Linked DNA regions of Coturnix japonica. The protein of the gene in region 3 purifies or fractionates together with the protein of the main gene of each other region. This does not show direct contact. Links are inferred from orthologs where the notes say so. Each region holds a gene or a part of one and is shown on either strand. Other genes may lie near its edges.

Evidence for each region. The genes of interacting proteins can lie anywhere in the genome.
Region 1: the proteins of CDK19 (region 3) and MED18 purify together in Homo sapiens (affinity purification with mass spectrometry; 5 studies listed by BioGRID and IntAct, counting the BioPlex papers as one, with this or other methods). This does not show direct contact. The link is inferred for Coturnix japonica from reciprocal best matches to the Homo sapiens genes CDK19 and MED18.
Region 2: the proteins of CDK19 (region 3) and MED13L purify together in Homo sapiens (affinity purification with mass spectrometry; 5 studies listed by BioGRID and IntAct, counting the BioPlex papers as one, with this or other methods). This does not show direct contact. The link is inferred for Coturnix japonica from reciprocal best matches to the Homo sapiens genes CDK19 and MED13L.

Annotation. Positions count from the first base shown.
Region 1 is NC_029547.1:21,930,372-21,934,279, forward strand, and holds MED18 (mediator of RNA polymerase II transcription subunit 18), read right to left. Parts: upstream 2,357-3,908; 5' UTR 2,244-2,356; coding exon 2,171-2,243; intron 2,005-2,170; coding exon 1,451-2,004; 3' UTR 592-1,450; downstream 1-591. UniProt on the Homo sapiens protein: Component of the Mediator complex, a coactivator involved in the regulated transcription of nearly all RNA polymerase II-dependent genes.
Region 2 is NC_029530.1:10,336,731-10,341,281, reverse strand, and holds the start of MED13L (mediator of RNA polymerase II transcription subunit 13-like), read right to left. Parts: upstream 2,892-4,551; 5' UTR 2,790-2,891; coding exon 2,718-2,789; intron 1-2,717. UniProt on the Homo sapiens protein: Component of the Mediator complex, a coactivator involved in the regulated transcription of nearly all RNA polymerase II-dependent genes.
Region 3 is NC_029518.1:60,491,866-60,495,719, reverse strand, and holds part of CDK19 (cyclin-dependent kinase 19), read right to left. Parts: intron 1,833-3,854; coding exon 1,566-1,832; intron 1-1,565.

The DNA of each region.
Region 1 (3,908 bases), on a different chromosome or scaffold from region 3:
TTAAAAATTATGAAGAAAAAAAAAAACCCTGTTTTGTTGTTCTTTCTAGTGTTTAAGGAGACTTATTTCAGTATCTTCTGCCGTACCCAGCCCTTGGGTTGTGTCTGAAGCTGTATGCCGCTTCATACACATACACTACAGTGTATGTAAAGCACTTAGCAGAAAGCAGCTTGACTGTGTTACCGAGGTTGCTGAAGTGAAAGCTGGAATATCCACATAAGCTGTTGATGTGTGAAACGTCTCACCCTGCACTCGCATATCAGAAGCATGTTAGACAATATAGAGTGCTTCCAAAGTTGTACTTCAGCTTCTGTGTTCATTTGTACAGAAATAACAACATTAGGGGAGAGTGTGTGGGGAGAATGGAGACCCAGGGCTGAGGAGTGCTGGAGATACAGCAACATTCGTGCTGTTAAAGCATGACAGCGACTGACAGCAATTGGTGTGTTTTAGTAAAAGGCAGCGTGGTTGTACGTTTCCATAATGATCTTGAGAAATGAAGACTACTTCATGTTTGCCCAAAATACTGGCTTGTATTGAGTGAAAAAGAATTGCAAAGAAAATACAAAATTAATGCAAATAGCTGACGGGTATTTTTGAAGATATATTTTTAATAAAACATACAAAGAGCACAAAAACACAGAAATAGTGGGATGCCTGACCTTGCTTTTGTGAAACTAATGCATCGTGCTGGGCTGATGGAAGTGGCTGTAAGCAGGAAGGAGCCTCTCTGTGCAGCCTGCTCCACGTCACCCCCAAATGAAGCAGTAATTCCTCACTTTGAGATGGACCTTCCTGTGTCCCAACACTGGGCAACAACAGTCAAAGCCTGGCCCCATCCACCTGACTCTCTACAGGCACATTCGGGGGCACTGGGCTCAACTTTCTGAGCCAACATATTGGCTGTGAAGGGTCTTAATTCTGTTTCTTCCCCCCAGGTTATAATTGCAGACCCAGAGCTTCCTGTTCTACACTAACAACAAAGCTGCTTCCAATAACAAACAGCTCCCAGTCTGGATTTGCTAGGAGGGAATCTTTCAGGTCTTTCAAATCTAAAACTAAGCAATTCCTGCAACTACTCCTTTCAGACATCAGGGACCGACTATCCAATGAATAATGCACTAAACAGACTTTTATTCTCTTCCATCTCTGGGAATTACATACATTCTGCTCTTATGCATATATGTAACCTGCATAACCAAATACCAAATGCTGGCTGAGCATCAAACAAAAACAAAACCAATACATCAAAGCCTTTTACCCCTTGCTCCCCAACAACATAAAGTCAATATCTCTATTTATAAGTGTTGCACCTTAATACTGCTTACTGCTCCAGCACAGAGAGGAAGCAGTGGAGCCCTGAACAAAAGTTCTGTGTGCATAGGACTCCAACCAGTCCCTGCACTCACTTCTGGCTACAGCAATGCTATGATAGTCAAGCCAGTTTTCATCACATTAACCTCTTAGGGTCAATTTTTTCCAGGTGTACTAAAGGCTTCAGCTGCTCTGCAAAGTTCCTCATATCATCAGAAACCATATCCTGTCCGGCTGGTGCCACAACATTAAGCTCTACAAGGTAGGAGAGGGAAAGCGGCTCGATGCTGTCCGTGTTACCAGGCATCAAGATACGGAAGATCTTATACACCACAATCTTCATGATCCCCTTTCGGAACACGTGTCCCTTAGCCACGAACTCGTGATCCATACGGAACCCCATCTCCACCAGGAAATCCGTCAGGTTGTCCGAGGTGGCGATGTCCACACAATTTCGCACTAAAGCGTGTCGGTTTTTATCTCCGATCTCCGGCTGCCCCAGGTACCTCAGGTGCCATGGCATGCCGCTTTTATCCATGGATCGCCGGGCACGCAGCACGAAGGGGCTGGCCTGCTGCCCCTTGAGCAGGAACACCATCTCGTGGTCCAGGAAGGTCTCCGGCTCCATGTTGTCGCACAGCCCACGCAGGCGGTGCAGCAGGCTCTCCAGGCTCTGGTCCAGGACGCTCCCTGTGGTGGACACACACGGCTCAGACGATGGCCCCTTCCCCGCCGCAGCGCGGGGCCGAGGCAGGCGGCGAAGGGGCCTCCGCGGGGAGGTACCTCCCCTTCGCCGCCCGCCTCGGCCCCACGCTGCGGCCGAGCCCCGTGTACAGCCCCTGTGTGCCGGCCATACCTTGCAGCAGGTACTCCATCATGTTAATAGTGCCGCCCGTAACGGGCATCATGGTGACGGGAGGCGCCTCCATCTTGGCGGCTGTGGTAAAGATGGCGGCGGGAAGAAAGGCAAGGCCTGAAGGAGGAGGCGGGCGCCACAGTGCGGCCTGGCGGTGAGGAGCAGCCGAACATCGACCAGCTCCCTTTCCTCCTCACAGACATCCAGTTATTCATCCCCAAGCACACAGCACTGCCCCTTAAAGGCAGATGTAAAGAAGGCATCGAGGAACTCAGCCTTCTCCTCCTCAGAGAATCCCAGCCTTCTCCTCAGTGATCACGTTCCCCGCTGCATCAAGTAAAGGTTGGGCATTTTCCTTGGTTCTCCTCTTACTTTGATGTACTTGTAAAGGGATTTTTTTAATGTAACGGCTTCTGCAATACCAGGTGAGAAGTGCTGGTATCACAGACCCACTTCAGTCTTTAATACTGCACTGTATGCTGGACAGTTTTCCTTAACCTTTTGTTTGCTAGGTTATTTCACTGCATCATGAGGTAATCTGAAAGTATCACAATTAAGCCAGTAAATCTAGGATTATTTTACTCAAACTGAAAAAGAAGTTCTGTACCAAAATGTACACGACTTAGTCATAATACAAAATGTTAATTCTACAGCCAGTTAAATCCATCATAATGAACGTTGAGCCACTGTTTATTGTCAGTACAGCGTTACTTTAAATAAGCTCACTGAGTGAACACAGAAATAAAGTAGATCTTCCTCAAATAAAGTGACAGCTATTAACAATACTCCAGGAAGATGTGCATCCATGGTATTTGCATGCTGTCGTAGCATATCTAGCATGTAGTACGTCTTCATGCTTGCACAGCAGCTTTGTGAGCTCATTACAATAATGTTGATTTGGTGATGCACTACAAGACAACCCATATGACTTACATTGAAGCTGAATTTTAAAGAGCACCTCTGCTAGACACCCGTTTAAAAGCTCCACCACATTCCTGTAGCGAACACATCTAGGCCAAACCACTGATCTGCCACCACCTCTGCCCCCTAAGAAGATCATCAAGCACATGAACAGTTCTCCTCCCATGATCAGCTGGACAGGGTGATGCTGACAGCAACCTTCCAGAAGGTGAATCAAACCAGAACACGCCTGTGTTTTCTATATTACATTAAGAACACCTGAGACTGCTTCACTGGTCCAAGTACAGAATTTTAATACAAAATCTGTTGCATTAACATGACATTTCACTGAATTCCCTTAATTAGTACATTCCATTAAAAAAAAAAAATCTTAAAATAAATATTCCCCCTCAAAAAAGTTTAAAAGGAATTAAAGCAAAAAATAAAATAAAACAAAAAACAAAACAACCCCAACCCTGTAGTATTACAGAACAGTGTGATTTTCTGACTTCATTTATCTCAGTGTAAGCAGTAGATTCACACCTCTTCCTGGGGAATAAGTGTCAAACACCGAGAACAAAAGATAGTTTGTAATATGCCAACACACCGTGCCTTGAGAGACTTCTTTTAAAAGAAATGTAAACATCTGTTACTGATTCTTGTTTGAATGCAGCACTCCTATCCAAAACGTACAGGAAACCGCGTCTGTTTGAATTAACAAGCTGTCTGACAAGAAATCAGTATTAAAATCGTTGGGTTTTTTTTTTTGAACCTGAACTAAATGACAGAACAGTTAAGACACTGTTGTTTTTTCCTACTTCAGCACAAACTATAGATC
Region 2 (4,551 bases), on a different chromosome or scaffold from region 3:
CTGCCCAACCACTCACATTAACCCACTTCCCACAATGGCTCAGCTTTCTTTGCCAACACAGCACACCATGGAGAGCAGCCCCTCACACCTGCTTGAACACCACTGCTGGTGCCGGACATCACTTCTGATATGTGCACGATCAGAGCTCATTTTATAACCTTAAGACTATGCCTTCCCCTCAGGTGGCATATTTTAAACTAAGAGCCTCTACACATTCCGGGCACCACTGACAAAACGTAAACAGTTACTAGAAAGCTTTAGAAAATATTTTTCATGACAGTAAGATACTTCCAGGAATATTTCCCCATGAAGACTCAAACAAACAGCAGTGCCACCATCTCTCTAAAGTCCATCTACAGCTGACAGACAAACAAGCTGGAAATGATGGGGTGACAAACACCCCAAAGCCAACCTCAGTCGTACAGCACAGCCCAGCTCCTCCGACACAGGAGCTGCTGTTCCTCCTTAGACAAAGGGAATGTTTGTGGGGAAAAACATTGCTTCAACACGAACAAACAGAAGTACTATTTCTGAACTGTAATTCTCCAGGCAAGAACATTTCTTTTTGACTCAGGCCCAAAACGAAGCTGGAGATTTACAATGAACTGTAATACTCAGTGTCTAATGGCAGAATGGGTTTCATACAGCTCAGTAATTCACCTCACTCCTACAAAGTGAATGAGTTCCCATCAACAGCTGATTCATTTGTGCATGTTTCTGTTCTGTTGCACTGAAAGAGTAAGTGATGAGCAAAACTTTCTCCCATTAGTAACCCCAACTACTGCACCTTTAACACTTCATAAGTTTTTAAATGAGTAGGACAATTTGAGGCTGTAAGGTCAGTTCTGCTGGCCACGCACTCCCAGTCCCTATTTCCTTCTTCAGTATCCTTCACTGATACATAAACCATAACAAATATCAATTTACCTGAAAACAAATCACACCAATAGTTAGCACATTTGTATATATATATGTATATGTATATATACATATATGTGTGTATACATACATACACACACATACATACAAGTATATACATAATGGATATTCTTCTGTTTGCAAGTAGACCCTGAAAATAATAAAATCATTACAGCTGGATGCACAGTACCACATTACAGGTATGGATGCCTCCCACAAAATTACCTGAGAAACAAAGAGATCACAAATTAAAATCATAATTACTATGAAGCCCACCTGCATTTTGACGGGATCACAGCCCTATTTGAAAAGCTCCCATTTCCCCAGCACAGCAGGGTGAAACACAAAGCAGACAGACCACGCTGCAGTCACTATGTAGTAACTTCAGATCATGACGGATGCCAATTGCATGCCAACCATTATTTCTATTAACCAAAGGCAGACCTGCAGTTTGCAAGTATGTAAAGTTACACACCTCAAAAATAATCACTTTTCCATGAATAAATGGGGACCTCACGGCTCCGTACACAAAGCAGAGAGCACTCCGTTCCTCTGTCCATCCATACAGCCGTCTCCCTCATGCTCACCATTCTTCCTTCACATGTATGAGCAGTACATTCAAAGTCCCCACAACAGCTCCCACAGCTCTGCACACACAGCACTGCTTCCTACATGCAGTTACGGCTCAGAGAGCACCGCCAAGGGAAAGCCCATGCACAAGGCCAGGTGATGGAACAAGTTCATGAAAAAGCCAAAATTAGACTTGCATTCATTCCCACAGAAGGAGGCCGGGACTCCTTTCCCAGTAGCTGAGCGCTGAGGGCTCCTGCTCCACATTCTCCATAGGTATGAACAAAGTAACAAATAAGAGCAACAAAATAACAGAGAAGCCAGCAGACGGAGGCATAACAATGACACACAGCAATGAAAAGAAAAACGTTCAACAAAAACATCATTCACATTTCCAGTCCATTTTCTTCTTTCCCTTCCTTCTTGCAAGACAACCAACAGCACTCCCCTCCTTTCTGCTGGAAATGAGACCCCACCACCACCAGCCACATCCAGCGCTCACAGAGGGGAAGGGCCCAACGCCCCCCCCTCCATCCCCACCCCGCACCGTGCATTCCCACACACACATCAAGCCCCCAACCCCACCTGGCTGCCAGCCCCCCCAGCACGGCCATGCCCAGCCAGAAACAGGGGCTGTGGGCAGCAGGTGCACAGCCTGCTGGTAAACCGGCTTCCAAGGGACGCTGCTTCTGCGTGGAAACAGCCAATAACATAATTCCTGCACCATTAAACCAAACAATCAATCCAAGTACAAAGTTGTCCATTACCAACGACGGAGAAATACAGCATCAGTGCTACCCGGCAGACAACATCTTCGGTTGTTTCACCCCAGGGATGGAATAAATGATTATTTCTGCACCCATGGTGTCCCGGGGCAGGCACTGTGCCAGGCGGGGCCGTACCAGGATCTGACAGCGGCCCGAGACCCGCGCAGCGCCCCGTGCCCGCCCGCTGCCGCCCTAATGCTGCTGTCACAGCGACAATAGAGCAACCCCGGCCCGGGGGCACCGAGCGGAGACACGGGGAGACACGGAGAGACACGGAGAGACACGGCCGAGGGCGCCGCGCCGGGGGAGGGGCCAGCGGAGGAGCAGCCCCACGGCCCGGGCTATAAAGCCCCCGGCAGCCGCACCCGGCGCCAAACCCGCAGCGCCCGGTGCGAGCCGCCGTGCCGGCCCGCCCTCCCCACAACCCCCACTTCCCAACCCCTCACCTCCTCGGGCACTCACCAGCGAGAAGAGATTGGAGTGGCAATCCTCCAGGCTGGCCCCGTTCGCCACCCAGTTGGCCGCTGCAGTCATGATCCTCGGCGAGCCCCAGCGCGGGGCATGTCTGAGGAGCGGGGCCCGGCGGCGGGGGGAGGCTGCGGGCGCTGCCGGGCGCTGCCCGCTGCCCCGGGAGCGCTGCTGTGCCGGCGGGCGGGGGGGCGGCGCTCAGGCGGCTCCGGCGGGGGCCCGCTCCGGCGGGGGCCCGCTCCGGCGGGGGCCGCTCAGCAGGCGGCGGCGGCGGCGGGCAGCCCTCCCGCGGGCCTCCAGGCCGCCTCAGCACCGCGGAGGAGGTAGAGGAGGAGGAGGAGGAGGAGGAGAGGGGTGGGGGGGCCCGGGGCCCTTCTTCCGCGTCCAGCGCCGGCCCCCCCGGCCGCGGCGGGGCTCGGGGCTCCTCCCGCGGTCCGGCGGCGGCCCCTGCGGGGCGGGGGAGGGCGGCGGGCAGTGGCGGCGACGGCGGGCGGGGGGCGCTGTGCGGAGCCCGTGTCCCTCCCCGCCCCGCCCGGCCGCCCCTCGCTGCTGCCGCCGCTGGCGGTGGGTGGATGGTGTTTTCCTCCTCCTCCTCCTGCTGCCGCCGCCGCCGCCTTGTTTACGCTCCGTGCGGGTCTCCCGGTGCTGCGGGAGGCGGGCGGCGGCCCGGGCCCGGAGTGGGAGCGCTGTCCGTGCCCGTCCTCGCCCCCCTCCGCCTGGCGCTGCCCGCACGGCGGCCCCGCTCACCCGCTCCTCCTCACACACTCGCCTCTGCCTCTCTCCACTCTGACAGCAATGGCGGCCGCCAGCCGCAGCTCGCTTCGCCATTGGTCGGCGCCTCCCCACGTGACTCGCGGCGGAGGGCGGGGGCACGGCGCTGGGGCTCCCCCCGGCCCCTCCCTCCTCCGCCGCAAAGATCCTCCGCGCCGCTGGGGGCGCTGCGCTGGGGGCGCTGTGCCGGGAGCTGGGAGCTGCGGCCGGCAGCGGAGCGGGGCCATCGACCCCGGGCGGGGGAAAGTTGCTGGGCGCCGCCCTGAGGGCTCCGGGCGGGAGGAGCGCGCTGCGGGCGGGGGGCGGCCTCGGGGCGGCCGCTGTGCGGTCGCTGTGCCGCCCCTTCCAGCCGGCGGTGTCTCGCAGCACCTGCCAAGTCCGCGAACTGGATCCGAGAGCGGGAACGCACGGACTGCCCCGCAGGGTCCCGCTCACAGCGAGAGCTTGGCCCGGCTCGTAGGGCCTCCAAGTGTCCGGAGGAGCTTCGCACACCGATGTGGTGGGACTGGTGTAAAGGGACCTGGGAGATACCCGACGTGTGGAACTCGGCTATGAAATCACGGAATCACAGCATCGTAGGGGTTGGAAGGGACCTCCAGAGAACATCGAGTCCAACCCCTGCCAAAGCAGGTTCCCTACAGCAGGTCACTCAGCTCAGCGTCCAGGTGAACCTTGAATATCTTCAGAGAAGGAGACTCCACCACCCCCCTGTGCAGCCTGTCCCAGTGCTCCCTCACCCTCACTGTAAGGAAGTTCTTGCTCACATTCATGCAGAACTTCCTATGCTCCAGTTTCTGTCCATTTCCTGCCTCCACACACTGCTGAAAAGAGTCTGGCCTCGCCACTTTTCCCCGCACACCTCAGATATTTATAGACCTGGATCAGGTCCCCTCTCAGTTGTCTTTTCTCAAGGCTAAACAGACTCAGTTCACTCAGCCTTTCTTCACATGGGAGATGCTCCAGGCCCTTCACCATCTTTGTAGCCCTCCATCGGACTCTTTCCAAGAGATCTCTGTCTTTTTTGTAAAGCCCAGAACTGGACACAATATTCCAGATG
Region 3 (3,854 bases):
CAAATTAACTTGCTCACGCTTATTTTTATTCTGCAGAGATATTTTTTTTTAATTATTATTATTTTATAGATCTAAGTCAGACTTGGACAAATTGCAAACATTCCTTCCTGGAACAGAAGACTGTCAGCTACAATTTAAGGGCAGAGAGCCAGATACAAATTTAAAACTGGATAATCAGATCAGACAGTTTAGCAAGTGATGTAAAGGGAGCACACAGATCATTATTTCACTGCCTGTGCTGTTAAATCCTAGAAGGAAATGGTCATGGGAGGTAAAAAAGAATTTAACCATCTCAAAAAAAGGAGAAAAATTAGATTTAGACTGCTAAAAAACTTGCAAGGTGGAAACTTGCCAACAGTTTGGAGAGCTGTGCAAGGATTCTGTAATGAACATCATCTAATGCAGCACATCAGCTCTCAAAATGCAGATCAAAACAGACCAGCCATAAATACTATGTAGTCAGACAGCTGTAGTGATCTGTCCAGACTTCAAGCCTGCCTGGAACTTTTCAGAAAGGAAACCTTGTTGTCTTTAACCTTACACTGCCCTCAGTACCTGTGTGATAATTTGCAATTAAAAGAGTAAAAGAGAAATAGGAGAAAAATGTCTGGCACTGAGAAAGCAGTTGTGTGTGGAGGAGGTACGGGTGGAGAAGCCAAAGCAATTGCAGAGTTGCTTTGTTTTGTTTTAAATCTGTTTAAAATAGCCTGAAAACGTTTCTTGAACATGGTGCACTCTTGAGGGTTGGTAGCAAGCAGAATCCCTAACATGCTTTAAAACATACCTTTACTAAGCTAACTTCCTTTTATCTGATTTGAAGAACGTGGTTGAATCAACTCTTTGGACACTTAGTGTCACTTTTTCAGAGAAAAGAATCATAATTCTATTAAGCAGAGACAAAAGTTCAAGTCCAAAAACAATTCAGTGATACTTCTTTTATGTATGAATGCTACTGAAGCAAAAAGCATGAAAGCTATTCAACCCCTGCCACAACAGAGATTACACACGCTCATGCCCTGCTTCAGCATGATTCATACTGATGAACCAAACCTGTGCTATCATGTAGTCTAACTTTAGAAGTAAATTTAGTAAGATACTGGAACAAACTACAGAATTGTTCCATATGTGTGATGATACGAGGTAAAACAAAGCAGAAACCAAAGGAGAAAGCCTGGCTCTAATTTTGACTTGCTTCCCAGAATCTGCCTCTCACACAGGACTTAACCTTGCCAAGAGCCAAGTATTTTGAATGTGATATGATGCAGCATTTACATTCATGAAATAGTTGCAGTGGCTTCGCTAAGATTATTCTCAAATAAAGCTACACACATATTTACATGCTTTCCTGGGGTGGTTGAGTCCTCAACACTTTAGAGGGTGAAGCAGACGTTTTTACTTCCCTAATAGGCTTTAAAGCTGCATTTTTATCTAATGTATCAGAGCACGGAGCTAAGGTTATGAGGAAAATTCATTAAAACATTATATTCATATTTATTGCAGTGGGGAACAGAGAAAACAACATTTTGCCTCCAATCAATCAGAAGCAGCAAAAATTCAAGAAGTACCTGATAATCTGAAGGCATGACAGGCCCGCCTGAGTTAGCGCCTGAAGGCCCTATGCGTGGTTTCTTGTTTGGAGGCACCTGGTTGAGGCTGGAGTCCTGGCTGTGCTGGAGTCCCGCACCCGCGCCCCCTCCGCCCGCACCCGTGCCCCCGGCCGTCCCGTTGGTTTGGGTGCTGTTCTGCTGCTGCTGCTGCGGTTGCTGCGGTGCGGCCTGCGGCTGCTGCTGAGGTGCTGTTTGCTGCTGATGTTGGTTCTGCTGCTGCTGATTCTAAGGGAAGAAAGAAGTGACAGCACACCATCATTCGCTCTGTACTTGTTTGTGATCCTGACAGAGTCACTAAGCTGGGTGCCACTGTGCTGCTGGAAAGGCAGCAGGCCCACGTGCTCGCCAGGAAAGCAAGGCCAGGTAATGCATAACATGAGCTCCCTGCGTGCTCCTGCCTGCCTCAAATTGGGGTATCTCATTTGTGGCTCACTTCTTTCCATTGTGGTTTTGTGTTGTTTTTTCTTTGTTTGTTTTTTAACAAAGCAGGATTGACTAGAGTTGGCATGACAGCTTAGTGATTGCTGCAGCTAGGCAAGCACTTAGGCCAGAGTAACAGTGAGCAGGATGGAAGGAGCTATTTATAAACACTTAATAAGCAGAATCAAAGCGCCCCAAATTTCACTGGTTCTCAGTGGCAGATGTGGCGAACCACAGTACATTTTCCTAAGTGCTTTAACAGCCCCATTCACTTAGAACTAAAACCACTTTTCCAACTTCCACAGATGATGCACTGCAATCATCCAAAGGAGGCTGGCAGTGTTGCCATCAGAAAGGTAAGCAAAACAAGACCAGAAACATTACATCATTTCTTCCAGTTACAAGGAAATTCTGTGGCAGAACCAAAAGCAGGTTCCATTACCCTTTTTCTCTCTTTCTTTTAAAAGCACCTTGGAAAGAGTGGTACATTGGGAACACAGTCCAGCATGGTACCTAGCTATAAGGTCTGAAAATCTTACTGAGACAGCAGGAAGTGACAAATGACCAGAGAGAAACAGCTGAAAATAGAAGAGAAGGACAAAGGTGAGATAAGAATCTGGCATGAGAAAGAAAAGAATAGCAAAGGAAGAGAAGTGAGGCAATTAATACAATACCATGGCCTAACAGGGAGAAAGAGCAAAGTGCCACAGAAGGGAGGGAAAAAGTTAAGGAGAACACAGAAGCAGAAGAGTAAAAGGTGCAGCTCTTCTGGTTTCAGAAGCTATGGACTGGAAAAAGCATTAAGGTCTAGAGAGGTTAGAAAAGTAGCAAAATTGCAACTCTTCTCCCTATGGTTAGACACTCACAAGGAAAGACCACCTGTGTTTGTCTGCTTTTGAGCATTACAGAAGACTCCTCCAAGAGAAGAAGCAAGTAAGAGAACTGCAAAGAAAAGCAACTGTGCTCCTAATGTCAGGTATGTAACCTGTTCATCATAGAAAGCTCTGCAATTTTCATGTCTTGAATTAAAAATCCCTACATTTAAGTCACACCCCCCAATCATAGTGTACTGCATGGGAGTGTGGAACATTTCAGGATAGTCTTTTTTCCCTGTGATATCTGCTTATGTAGTTCTCAAAGGTTTGGTATGGCAGCCTTTATTACATCCTCATGTTATCAGTTAATCAGAAATCCTGACAACCAACTGCCACTAGCACTAAATTGCTGATGCTCTCAGTCACGGCAAGCCATTTCAGTTATCTCAGAAAAATGACACAAAAATCTATATCTATGCCACTCATCACAACAGTTTCCCAAGATATAATCAGATCAAATTTGCAACGGTGTATTCATTTAAAATCTCAAAGATCTTAAATTTGCCTCTTCAAGGGCTGCTGGATGATACGTATTTCCATTTCACACTGAGCAAAACCAGTAATACATCCTACCACTAGTAATCCTCAAATGTCATCTCAGCCAGACTCTGTTTCTACGGGGATTTAAACTGTAAGAAGTTAAACAAAAGTCTGAAACAGGCTTGTCATAGAATGCGTTAAGAAGTAATTTATCTTATAATAGCGGTTTGAGCTTCACATACCAACAAATGCCAATGACTAAGGCAATATCTGTGCTAGATTCTGAGACTTGTATTTTCATAAGGATGCTGGGATGTGAATGAGGTGGTCGCTACTTTCACAGTGGAAAATTATTGTTTTTTTTTAATTTTTTTTTTTTTTTTTTAAATTATAAGGAGATATGGCAGGAACTCTTACAATTAAGGACCACCATTTGCAATAGTTGTAATGTCTGGAACTTTGGACACCTGCA